Oryzias latipes: one gene and its partner. The protein of the gene in region 1 interacts with the protein of each later gene in a biochemical or structural test. Links are inferred from orthologs where the notes say so. Each region holds a gene or a part of one and is shown on either strand. Other genes may lie near its edges.

The links. The genes of interacting proteins can lie anywhere in the genome.
Region 2: of the proteins of map2k7 (region 1) and mitogen-activated protein kinase kinase kinase 11, one has a biochemical effect on the other in vitro, tested with the Homo sapiens proteins (2 studies listed by BioGRID). The link is inferred for Oryzias latipes from reciprocal best matches to the Homo sapiens genes MAP2K7 and MAP3K11.

What each region holds. Positions count from the first base shown.
Region 1 is NC_019859.2:2,777,737-2,782,527, forward strand, and holds the start of map2k7 (dual specificity mitogen-activated protein kinase kinase 7), read left to right. Parts: upstream 1-1,746; 5' UTR 1,747-1,791; coding exon 1,792-1,915; intron 1,916-3,599; coding exon 3,600-3,647; intron 3,648-4,791. UniProt on the Homo sapiens protein: Dual specificity protein kinase which acts as an essential component of the MAP kinase signal transduction pathway. Essential component of the stress-activated protein kinase/c-Jun N-terminal kinase (SAP/JNK) signaling pathway.
Region 2 is NC_019876.2:27,257,507-27,262,256, forward strand, and holds the start of mitogen-activated protein kinase kinase kinase 11, read left to right. Parts: upstream 1-1,644; 5' UTR 1,645-2,806; coding exon 2,807-3,563; intron 3,564-4,750. UniProt on the Homo sapiens protein: Activates the JUN N-terminal pathway. Required for serum-stimulated cell proliferation and for mitogen and cytokine activation of MAPK14 (p38), MAPK3 (ERK) and MAPK8 (JNK1) through phosphorylation and activation of MAP2K4/MKK4 and MAP2K7/MKK7.

The DNA.
Region 1 (4,791 bases):
AATTTCAAATAAATATTAATTTCATTTAAAAATGCAGTTCTTTGTGCAAAAATATAATCTCAGAGTACTTTTGTAGTTTAAAATACTTTACTTGATATAAGACCAACTTTACCAGTAGCTGATGAAATCTTAAATATCTTTTAAAATTTTCATATTTGTAAGCCAAAGCTTAATTTTTGATGGTGAGTGGTTATTATGAGGAAGAATCTGGCTCAGTTAGAGGAAACTCGACTCCAAAAACAGCAAAACTGCATTTATCAGGAGCAGGACAGTAAATAAATATTCATCACGTGAAAGTTTAAAGACAAATTCATCTTAATGTGGGATTCTAGTAATTTTCTAAAATATCTAGAAATATTGATAGTTGGACTGTTGTAGTACTTAAAATAGAAATTAAATCTGAGGGAAACGTGTATAAATACAGCTTTACTTTAAGGACAAAAGGCTCTTTATTTCTCAGCAAGAAGGCGTTGGTTCAAATCCCGGCTGGGTGGCCTGAAACAGAATCACCAATGAGGGACGTTTGCATGTTCTCGTGTGTAAGATCATAAATATCATTCCTATTATGACTTTCCTTTTTAATTTTTTATTCATTAAATTACAAAATAATTGAGTTCAACTTTTTTAAACGTAGATTTGAGCTTAAAAGATTGTATTTTTATCATTTGCCTGGTAATGAATACTTTATACTGTAATTATATGACAGTCTAGTATTTTTTATTCTGTCTTAGTATAAAAAATAAAATGAGTTTGTCATTTGTGTGGCAAAATGACTCTAAATTTATTGATAAAAGTGAAAAACCACTAGAGAAAATGCAGGCGTGTGCACCCACAGGAACGCGGGGGGGGGGGGCCCCTTTTGCCACGTAATAAAGAAATTCCCTGTTTTTTCTTTTTTTGTACTAACGTGAATACATTTCTATTAGAAAATCTCCTGATGTTCTGATATGTGACAGAATATGAATAATAACTGCAGAATCCTCCCAGCAACAGTTTTTGATAACACTAAGTATTGTAAATAGTTTCAGCATTCTGGCGATAGAAGTTGTTGAAAATCTGATTTTAAAATATTACCATCTGGATTAAACTTGATTCATGATTATTATGTCTGCAGCACAATGTGCCAACAGAAAGAGCCTCCAGTGTTTTATTGTTTTGACGTCTTCCAAGTCTGTGATAAAGTGAACAAACTCATGTTGACAATAATTTGTTTACATAACAGAAATGACAATTGTTTCACTTTCACCCACAGTAGCAGAATTCTTAAATCTATTGGTAGTTTATTTTAAAATTTGACTTAGTTTCAGTTTTGATTAAAGGACAAAATCTGAGCTTTTGCTGCCCTTTTCCAACTTCCATGTGCTCCTGATTCCCAGTCAAATTTGGCTGTTTTTATGCTTCACATAAAGGTCGTAAGCCATCCCTTTACCTGAAATTGTGTTGTCAGGAAGGTGTATTATTATCAACATTTTTATTATATTTACATTTTTTTATTTCTTTGGAACAAAAAAAGAATCCTTGAATAATGTCTATGCACAAACAGTGAAAACTCCACAATTAGAAAAACTTTTTCCGTTGGCTAACAGACAGAAAATCTCTAAAACTGGGTAGAAAACGAGAAAAGAGTACAGAGCAAGAATAGTGCCGCGCGGAGTGCTGCACGTGCGCGGAGGCTGCAGCGTGTGTAGGTTCGCTGGTCTCATTTGTACGTCGCTGGCCCCGCCCCCCGCCCCGCCCTGCCCGCCGGAGATTGGAGTCTGCTGGGAACTCCATGGTGCTAAATTTTTCAAGATGTCGTCGCTGGAACAGAGGCTCTCGAGGATCGAGGAGAAGCTAAAGCAGGAAAACGAAGAGGCCCGTCGGAGAATTGACTTGAGCATCGACATGAGTCCGCAGCGATCACGCCCGAGGCCAAGTGAGTGTCCAGCGGGGGTCACTGGGGTTCGGTGACGGCCAGAACAGCGAGGGGAAGATCGGAGAGAAGGGGTGGGGTGGGGTGGGGTGTATGAGGGCTGTTATGCTACTCCATGCTAAAAGCTACATGCTATCATGCTAACTACGTAAACAAACATGAACAAGAATAATGATTTATTATCGTCAAAGCGCTTCTTCAACAATCAAGGCAGCTTCTGTTTTGGGTTCTTCACTGGGAGTGTCGGTGACGGCGGTGTGAAGTATAACCGCGGTAACCTTGTACCGCAGTCCGTTTTGTTTCTGTCCTGTCAAACATGCTAAGCTAACGGGCTAGCTCCGCATCCATCGCTAGGCCTGTAAAGTATTCAACGTTGTTTACAGCTTTTCACGCGAATGTGCAGAAATGCCACTCATGCCGTAGTTTCATTGTTCTTAAAAAACGTCCTTTTATACTAGTTTTTATTTCTAAAAAGCTTGTTTTCGATGCCATTTTATGTGTTCCTAAGCAGGCTAATTCGATAAGCTAGCTGCGTCAAACAGACGTCAAGTTTGATTTACTCGCAGCTGAACGGTTACACGTAAAGCTGCCGTACTTTGTTTTTCCTTTAGTCTTTTTATATTAAAATAATTAAAGCACAAATAGCAGACGATTATCAAAACTAAAGACAAGAAGAAAATGATAATAATCTTCACTTCGTACATACTATCAGTCAAAACAGTCAGTTGTTTCCGCTCAAGAAAAATAATTATTGACAAAAATGGGAAGCCTCTTGGATAATAAGAGGTGAAACGTCTTCCAACTTTAAAAACTAAGTCCAGATGACAGCCCCTAAACCTACTACTATAAATAAAAAGAAGGGTTATCTCCAGCTTCTATTTTTTTAAAGAACTCCCTTTGACTTCATTTGTTTTTGTAGGGGTTCTATCTTAAGATCTAAACCTTTAAAATTCTGTAAATAAGTTTGAGAATAATAAACCTCAACCTTAAGTTTTTCACTCTGTTGTGACACAGAAACAGAATTTATTTGAAAATTTTCTTCTGAAGAATGAAGGACATCTGAACGTGTTCTTCGGACATATTTGCTGATTTTAGTACTGATCGTCAGTCGTTGTTATTTATGTTTCAAAGTTTTGTTCATACATTTCTCATCCTTTTTCTCCATGCTAGTGAGCCTCGATGCATAGTGGTTTTTCGCACAGACCTCTGGTAAATTCCTCTGAAAAAATGGCCTAAATAGTGCACCACCCGGCAGGGGGGGTGAATTCTGAAAAGGCCTTGGAGCGAAGCTCCAGTTGAGATGTTTTGGTTTTGGCCAACAGTGGAAAAAGTTGCACAATATACTTTCATTTGACATTATTTACGTTAAAATGGCATGATCTGTCACTACTGTGGCTCTGTGGGATAACCTGGACTTTTTGTTTTGTCTTATGGAGTTGCTTGGCTCTTCGTGTTAATATTTAATTTCCTTTTTTAATTCTATTTCTTTCTAATTGGGATCAGAAACATTGGTAGTGTTGTGCCCATGAAGGTTTTGTGCCCGTGTCTTCTCATTGTTTTGCAAAAAAGAAAAAAAGCGAAAAGCTGAAGTGTGTTTTATTTTCATGAGAACATGATGAAATGTGGAAGTGTTTGCTGTTTCCTGTAATGTGCGTGTGTGTATGTATATTTTCTTTCCTCTGTCTAGTCATCGTGATCCAGCTCAGTCCTGCTCCAGCCCCCTCCCAGCGTGCAGGTATCATTCATTCACCTCTGCCACTGCTCCCCACCACCTTCCAGCCCTCCGTTCTCTGCTCCGCTCTCCTCCTCTCCATCACTTCCTCTCCATCTCATTTCAAACATCCAGAGAAACATTCAGCTCAGCCAGGAGCTTTAAAGCTCCTGACTAAATATTTACTTCTTCTTGACATTTTTATGTGCTTTTATTTCTTCTATTTTACTGTGTTTAGAACGATGGGATGGGATAAAACCTTTTTATTGTTAATTTGTCAGATAAAAAAAAAAACTTTTCTCCACTTTATCAGAAAATATTTCCCCCCAACATGTCACAGCTCATCAAAAGGTTGCACAAACTCATGCATCCAGTACTTTTCCACCGCTGACATTTCAACCCTGCAGTTCTTCATCCTCCACTTTCTCACCCTTCTGTGCGTCTGTGCCAGTGGCAGGGCAGTGTTGGTTCGCATTGATGTGTTTGTGTGCTTCAGCACACGTGGAGGACCATTAACATTTGTTCTGCTGGAGGCAGAGAACCCCCTTCTTGTGCATGTGGCTTTGTTTTGTTTTTTTGCACGGCGTCGTGGAATGGGTTGTTTTTGTTTGAGCGTCTCTAATCCAGCATCCCCACCGTTCTGTCTGCAGGAGCGGGGAAACCTCCGCCTGGTTTCCCTTTCTCGTCTGTTTTCCTAACGGCACAGCTGAATGTTTTCCTTCCTGGTTCAGTGTTTCTGACTTACAGCTACGTCTTGCTATGCAGTTTTTTTTTATCTACCGTATCTCTCTCACTTTGGACTGTTTTGATGTTTTTTTTCCCCCCTCATCTCCTGGCTCCTCCCCTTTTTTGCAGTGGCGCTGTGTGAGCAGGAGGCGGGCCTGCTAGCATCTGTGTTGGTCCGTCCGTTCCTCCTCCCATCTGTTTAGAGGCTGTCAGAACTTTGGAGATGAAAATCTGTGCCGACGGCCGCTGGCGTCTGCCCGTCACACTAACCCCCCCCGCTTCCTTTCACCAACCATTTTCCCCGAACAGGCCGACCCGTCCGGGCCGCTCCTGGACCCAAACACTGGTGCTCCTGGCAGAGCCCTATCTCACTCGTGCAGAAAAACTCTGAGCAGCAGGAAGTGACTGCTAGCAGACATTTAGTCTAGTCATACCTCTAGTA
Region 2 (4,750 bases), on another chromosome or scaffold:
AGTAACCAATTGTCAAAGTGACAAAGAATCAAAATAACATTGTGTCATCGTGTCAAAGCATTAATGGTATCAAAGTTTTTTTATTGTTCAACAAAAGACATCTCCCCGGCTCACCCGCTCCAAAGGACGATGGACTTCATTCGCACACTCACCGCTGTCTAACCAGGTGACACGCCCACCACACTGGTGTAACCAATAAACCAACTGCCGTCAAATGGCGAGTTTTGGCACCAGAATGTGATAACACAAATAGAAAAGGGATTCCTTCTGGCTCCAACGAAATAAAGTCACTTCGGTCGTCAGTTTTTGGCAGGCAATATGGACGCTGGCATGTCGGAGCCAGAATAGTCAGTGGGTGTGTCCAAATTCGAGAGCTGCATCTTTCAATGGCCACGGCCTTCCTGGGCGACGTTGGCCGGGTCCTGCGTCAAGTGGGTAGGCCGGATGTGAATGGCTGTGAATTTGGACTAGTCTTGCCTTTAGATAATTCCAGGCGCTGCATCGGCGAATGTCCCGTTGCCCAGCAACCGTGAATCCCAAACAGAGAGTAGTGAACAAGGAACTGAACAAGGACTTTTCCTGGCTTATTTGATCCAATTTTAATCTTGGAGGAGTAAATATAATAAGGTGTAATTATCTCCAACTCCGGGTTCCACTTCACAGTCCGCCACTGTTGACAGAAAATCTCCGGGTTTGGCTGCAATGCATCTTGGGATATGTACAGCATAGAAGGATACAGCAGACCAATCCTTGAAATCGGGAAAAAGAATGCCGTATATCTGAAGTAGTCTTTGAATTTGGACAGCACTTGTGGCGGCGCTGTGACGTAAGCAGCCCTCAAATGCAGTCCAGGAAGAATGCAGTCCTCGAATTTGGACACAACCAATGTCAGTGATGTGTCCGAGTCGGTCAAAGTCAATGTTTCTATGGCAACCGCTCTCACCAGTCAGGAGTGAACTTGTTGGACGGCCGCAACCCTTCTTCTGGAAGTGGGCTTGAGAGAATCAGTCAGTCAAACGCTTCAAACATTCGACACAAGACCACACACTAATATGGAGGCATCTGATTGGTTAGTTTATAAATAATAGTTAATAACTCACAATACAGAAAAATATCATGTTAAAAAAATCTGTATAACCATTAACATGTTAAAAAAGAAAGCAGAGCAAGAAGGGTTATTTTTACAAGTTTAACAACTGAGTAACAGCTGTTTATGTCTCTTTGGCATTTTTTTTTTTGGGGACCAGCAGGTACTTCCTGTTTGAAACGCAAAGGGGGAGGAGTCACTCAGTCCAGTTCTCACATACAGTCAATGGTTTTTACCAACCTGGCAGAATTCTAAATGGCATTTCAAACAATGTTATGTGATTTTAAAGCCAAAGGCAACAACAAAGTGCTAAAGAATCAAACACAAGTTAATATTTTGTGTTGAATTAATTTATCTTGAAAAGAAATGGACGTTCCGCAGCAGAAAGCGCCCCCCTCCCAGACTTTATTGACAGAAAACATAATACAACAACATGGTGAATGTCTCAGGGGTTACTGAAATGTGTACACATTGTAGAAATAAATAAAAAAATCAAACAACATTATGCATATATAAACATACATATACTATATATGAGAAAAGAAACATCAATTCAAAAAACATTGGGGTTTAATACATTTAAAATGTTTCAAAAATCAAATTAGTTCGAATTTCCTTTTGGTTTTGAAGTTGTTCAACAGGAAGCGCTTTTATTTTGTTAGTTGACCCGGAAGTTGCGTGCTTCTGAGCGGAAGCTTGGCGGTTGGCGGTCATCTGACGACTCTTTTCCTGTTGGGACAGAAAAGTTTTGAAACCCCACCCTCCGCGCTGCCTGTGTGAGCACCGACGTGAAGTGGGTCGAGTATCTGGCGGCGGAGAGCTGCCCGAGCCGGAGGAACGTGATTGGAAGCTACGATGGATCTGCCGCGCTCTGCGGACGTCACCGGGACCGACTGGAGCTCCGAGCCGCACCGGACGGTGCGCTGAAAGCCCCACACCACCGACACAGAGAGAGAGAGAGCTAACGGGATTCGGTTTGAGGAGCCCTTCCTGTTCCAAAGTCTGCGTGTTTTTTTTTTTTTTTTTTTTTTTAGCGCTTTAATCTCAGCGTGGAACTGCCCGTCATGGGGGGCGCGTGGAGCCTCCGCCTCAGAGGGACGCGGGGTTTCCTTACGGGGTCCCGGAGCGCTCACGCGCACTTGCTGGATGTTGGGTCTCACTAACTAAGGCTGGCTGGCTGGCTGGACAGAAGGCTCCTTTCCTGCCATTCTTCTCCGCCTCGCGGCGCTTCCTGCCCGCGGTCACCGCCGCATTTAATGGCTACAAACCCAGAGATCCCCGCAAACGGACAGATGGGTGTTTGGGGTTGCTGTAGCAACATTCACAGGTGTTTAACCCCTCTAGTTGTGTCTAAATAAGAGCCCAACAGGTGGCATTGTGGATGAAAAACTTCATAAGGATAGAGGAGAAGTGGAAGGATGTTTTGCTCATGTGTTAGAAAGCTATCACTCCCACAGATTGCTTGTGTTCATTTTGAAAGGATTAAGTGTGAAACGTCTCCTCTTAAGATCATGGAGAGGTTGGAAAAAGAGTTGACTCTCCGCTGTCTTTGACGCCACTCCTGTCTGTCCAAAATTTGCACACATTTCTTTGGTCCCTGATGAGCCAACAAGAAAGACAGGAAAGGGAGCGAGGCGTCATAAAGTACTCCTTTGTACTTTATTTTCCAACCCCCGGTGTGCAAAGTCAGATCCAGTCAAAACATCTGCTGGAGGCTCCATGGAGCCGCTGAAGAACATATTCAGTCGCAGCTCATTGTCGAACTGGAAAAACTTGGATCAGTCGCAAAAGGGGAACTTCACCAACCCTGTATGGACGGCCTTGTTTGACTATGAGGCGTCTTGTAAAGATGAGCTCACCTTGCGCAAAGGTGACCTGGTGGAGGTGCTTTCTCTGGACTCTGAGATTTCAGGGGACGAGGGCTGGTGGGCAGGTAAGGTCAACAACAAGGTGGGCATCTTCCCATCCAACTATGGCTCCTTCAAGCCCAGTGGATACGCCAAGCTCCCTAGTAGCGGTGTGGTTGGCGAGCTCGGCCAGGCCGTGGTGGCCCAGTTTGAACCTGCGGACGTGGATTTCCGGGAGCTGAGCTTGCAGGAGGTGATTGGGGTCGGGGGCTTTGGGAAAGTGTATCGCGGTACATGGAGGGGCGAGCTGGTGGCAGTGAAGGCGGCCCGTCAAGACCCCGACGAGGACATCAGCGTGACGGCCCAGAATGTGATGCAGGAGGCGCGCCTGTTCGCCATGCTCACCCACCCCAACATCATCACCCTGAAGGGGGTCTGCCTGCAGGAACCCAACCTGTGCCTCATCATGGAGTACGCCTCCGGTGGGCCGCTGAGCCGAGCGCTGGCCGGCCGCCGCATCCCGCCCCATGTCCTGGTCAACTGGGCTGTGCAGATCGCTAGAGGGATGCTGTACCTGCACAGCGGGGCCATCGTCCCCGTCATCCACCGGGACCTCAAGTCCAACAACAGTAAGTCACAGAAGTTTGTCTTTGTACTCACTTGTCGGTGATGGAGTCTAGGCGATATTTACAAATTATTTGGACAGCATGCATGTTCTGTAAGTGTTGTTTGACTGCACGGTCACATGACTGACCAACTGAAGAGGAGCCCAGGGCAGACTGGAATGCTTTCCCGGTGACAGTCCGGTTTCAGGTTGAAAGCTTTCTATCTCTGCTGGGTTATGAAACTTTGGACTTTGATGCTGCTTTGATGCAGCAGAAAATGGCTTGCATCAGCATATCAGGCCCTGCAGCGGACACGTATGCACCCAAGCTTGTCATGAAAGCTCAACTACATACAACTACATACAAACACTCTTTTAAAGAGCACCCACTCCAATGAAAATGGTGCTTTTGGTGTATTTAACATGTTCTTGTGACACTTTCTCCTGACGAAGGTCCAATGACGTGCGGTCAGGTGAGGCAAGTGAGGCACAGCCTCACCTGTCATAATTGTGATAAAATAGAAAAAGGTAAATTAGGTACATATTTTCCACTGATAAATATACATTTTCAGTCAACTCAACACGTTTTTTACAGTTTCTGAGGTTAAAATCGCTGAAGTTGAGTGTTGCGCGATCACAGACGGAGTAAAAACTCCGGTTGAGGCTCTGAAGCGCTGTGCCTCATGTCTGACAGCAGGACTCAATGTTAACAGAGACGTGCGCTGAAAACGCTGCTGTAGGCCCGCAGAAAAGGCTTCAGGTGAGGCGTGCCTCACCAGCAGGGGGCAGACATGAGCTGACAGCTGCTTTGTAGCTACACTGGTGCCGTAGAAACGGAACAGAAGATAAAGGAAAACAGGAAGACTTTTCCAACACATCATAGAGCTTTTTGTGGAGAAGGATCAAGACAAGGACTCAAAGCATAAGGCCAAACATGTTTTTCAATGTTTTTTTTTTTTTAAATAACATGGGAGTAAGTGGGAAAAAATGTAAGTAAAATAATTTATTTTATTTTTACAATCATTTTCACAGACAATATTTGATAACACTGATTAAAACACCAGAATTTGAAGTTGGAAAAATACCAGAAATAGTCACTGAGGGTCAAAATGAAATGTGTGCTGAACACATGTGTTTGCTTTAATTTGTTTACAGTACATATTAATAACTTATACACAAGAAGAGTTTTCTATCCATGTCTATAAAATACAT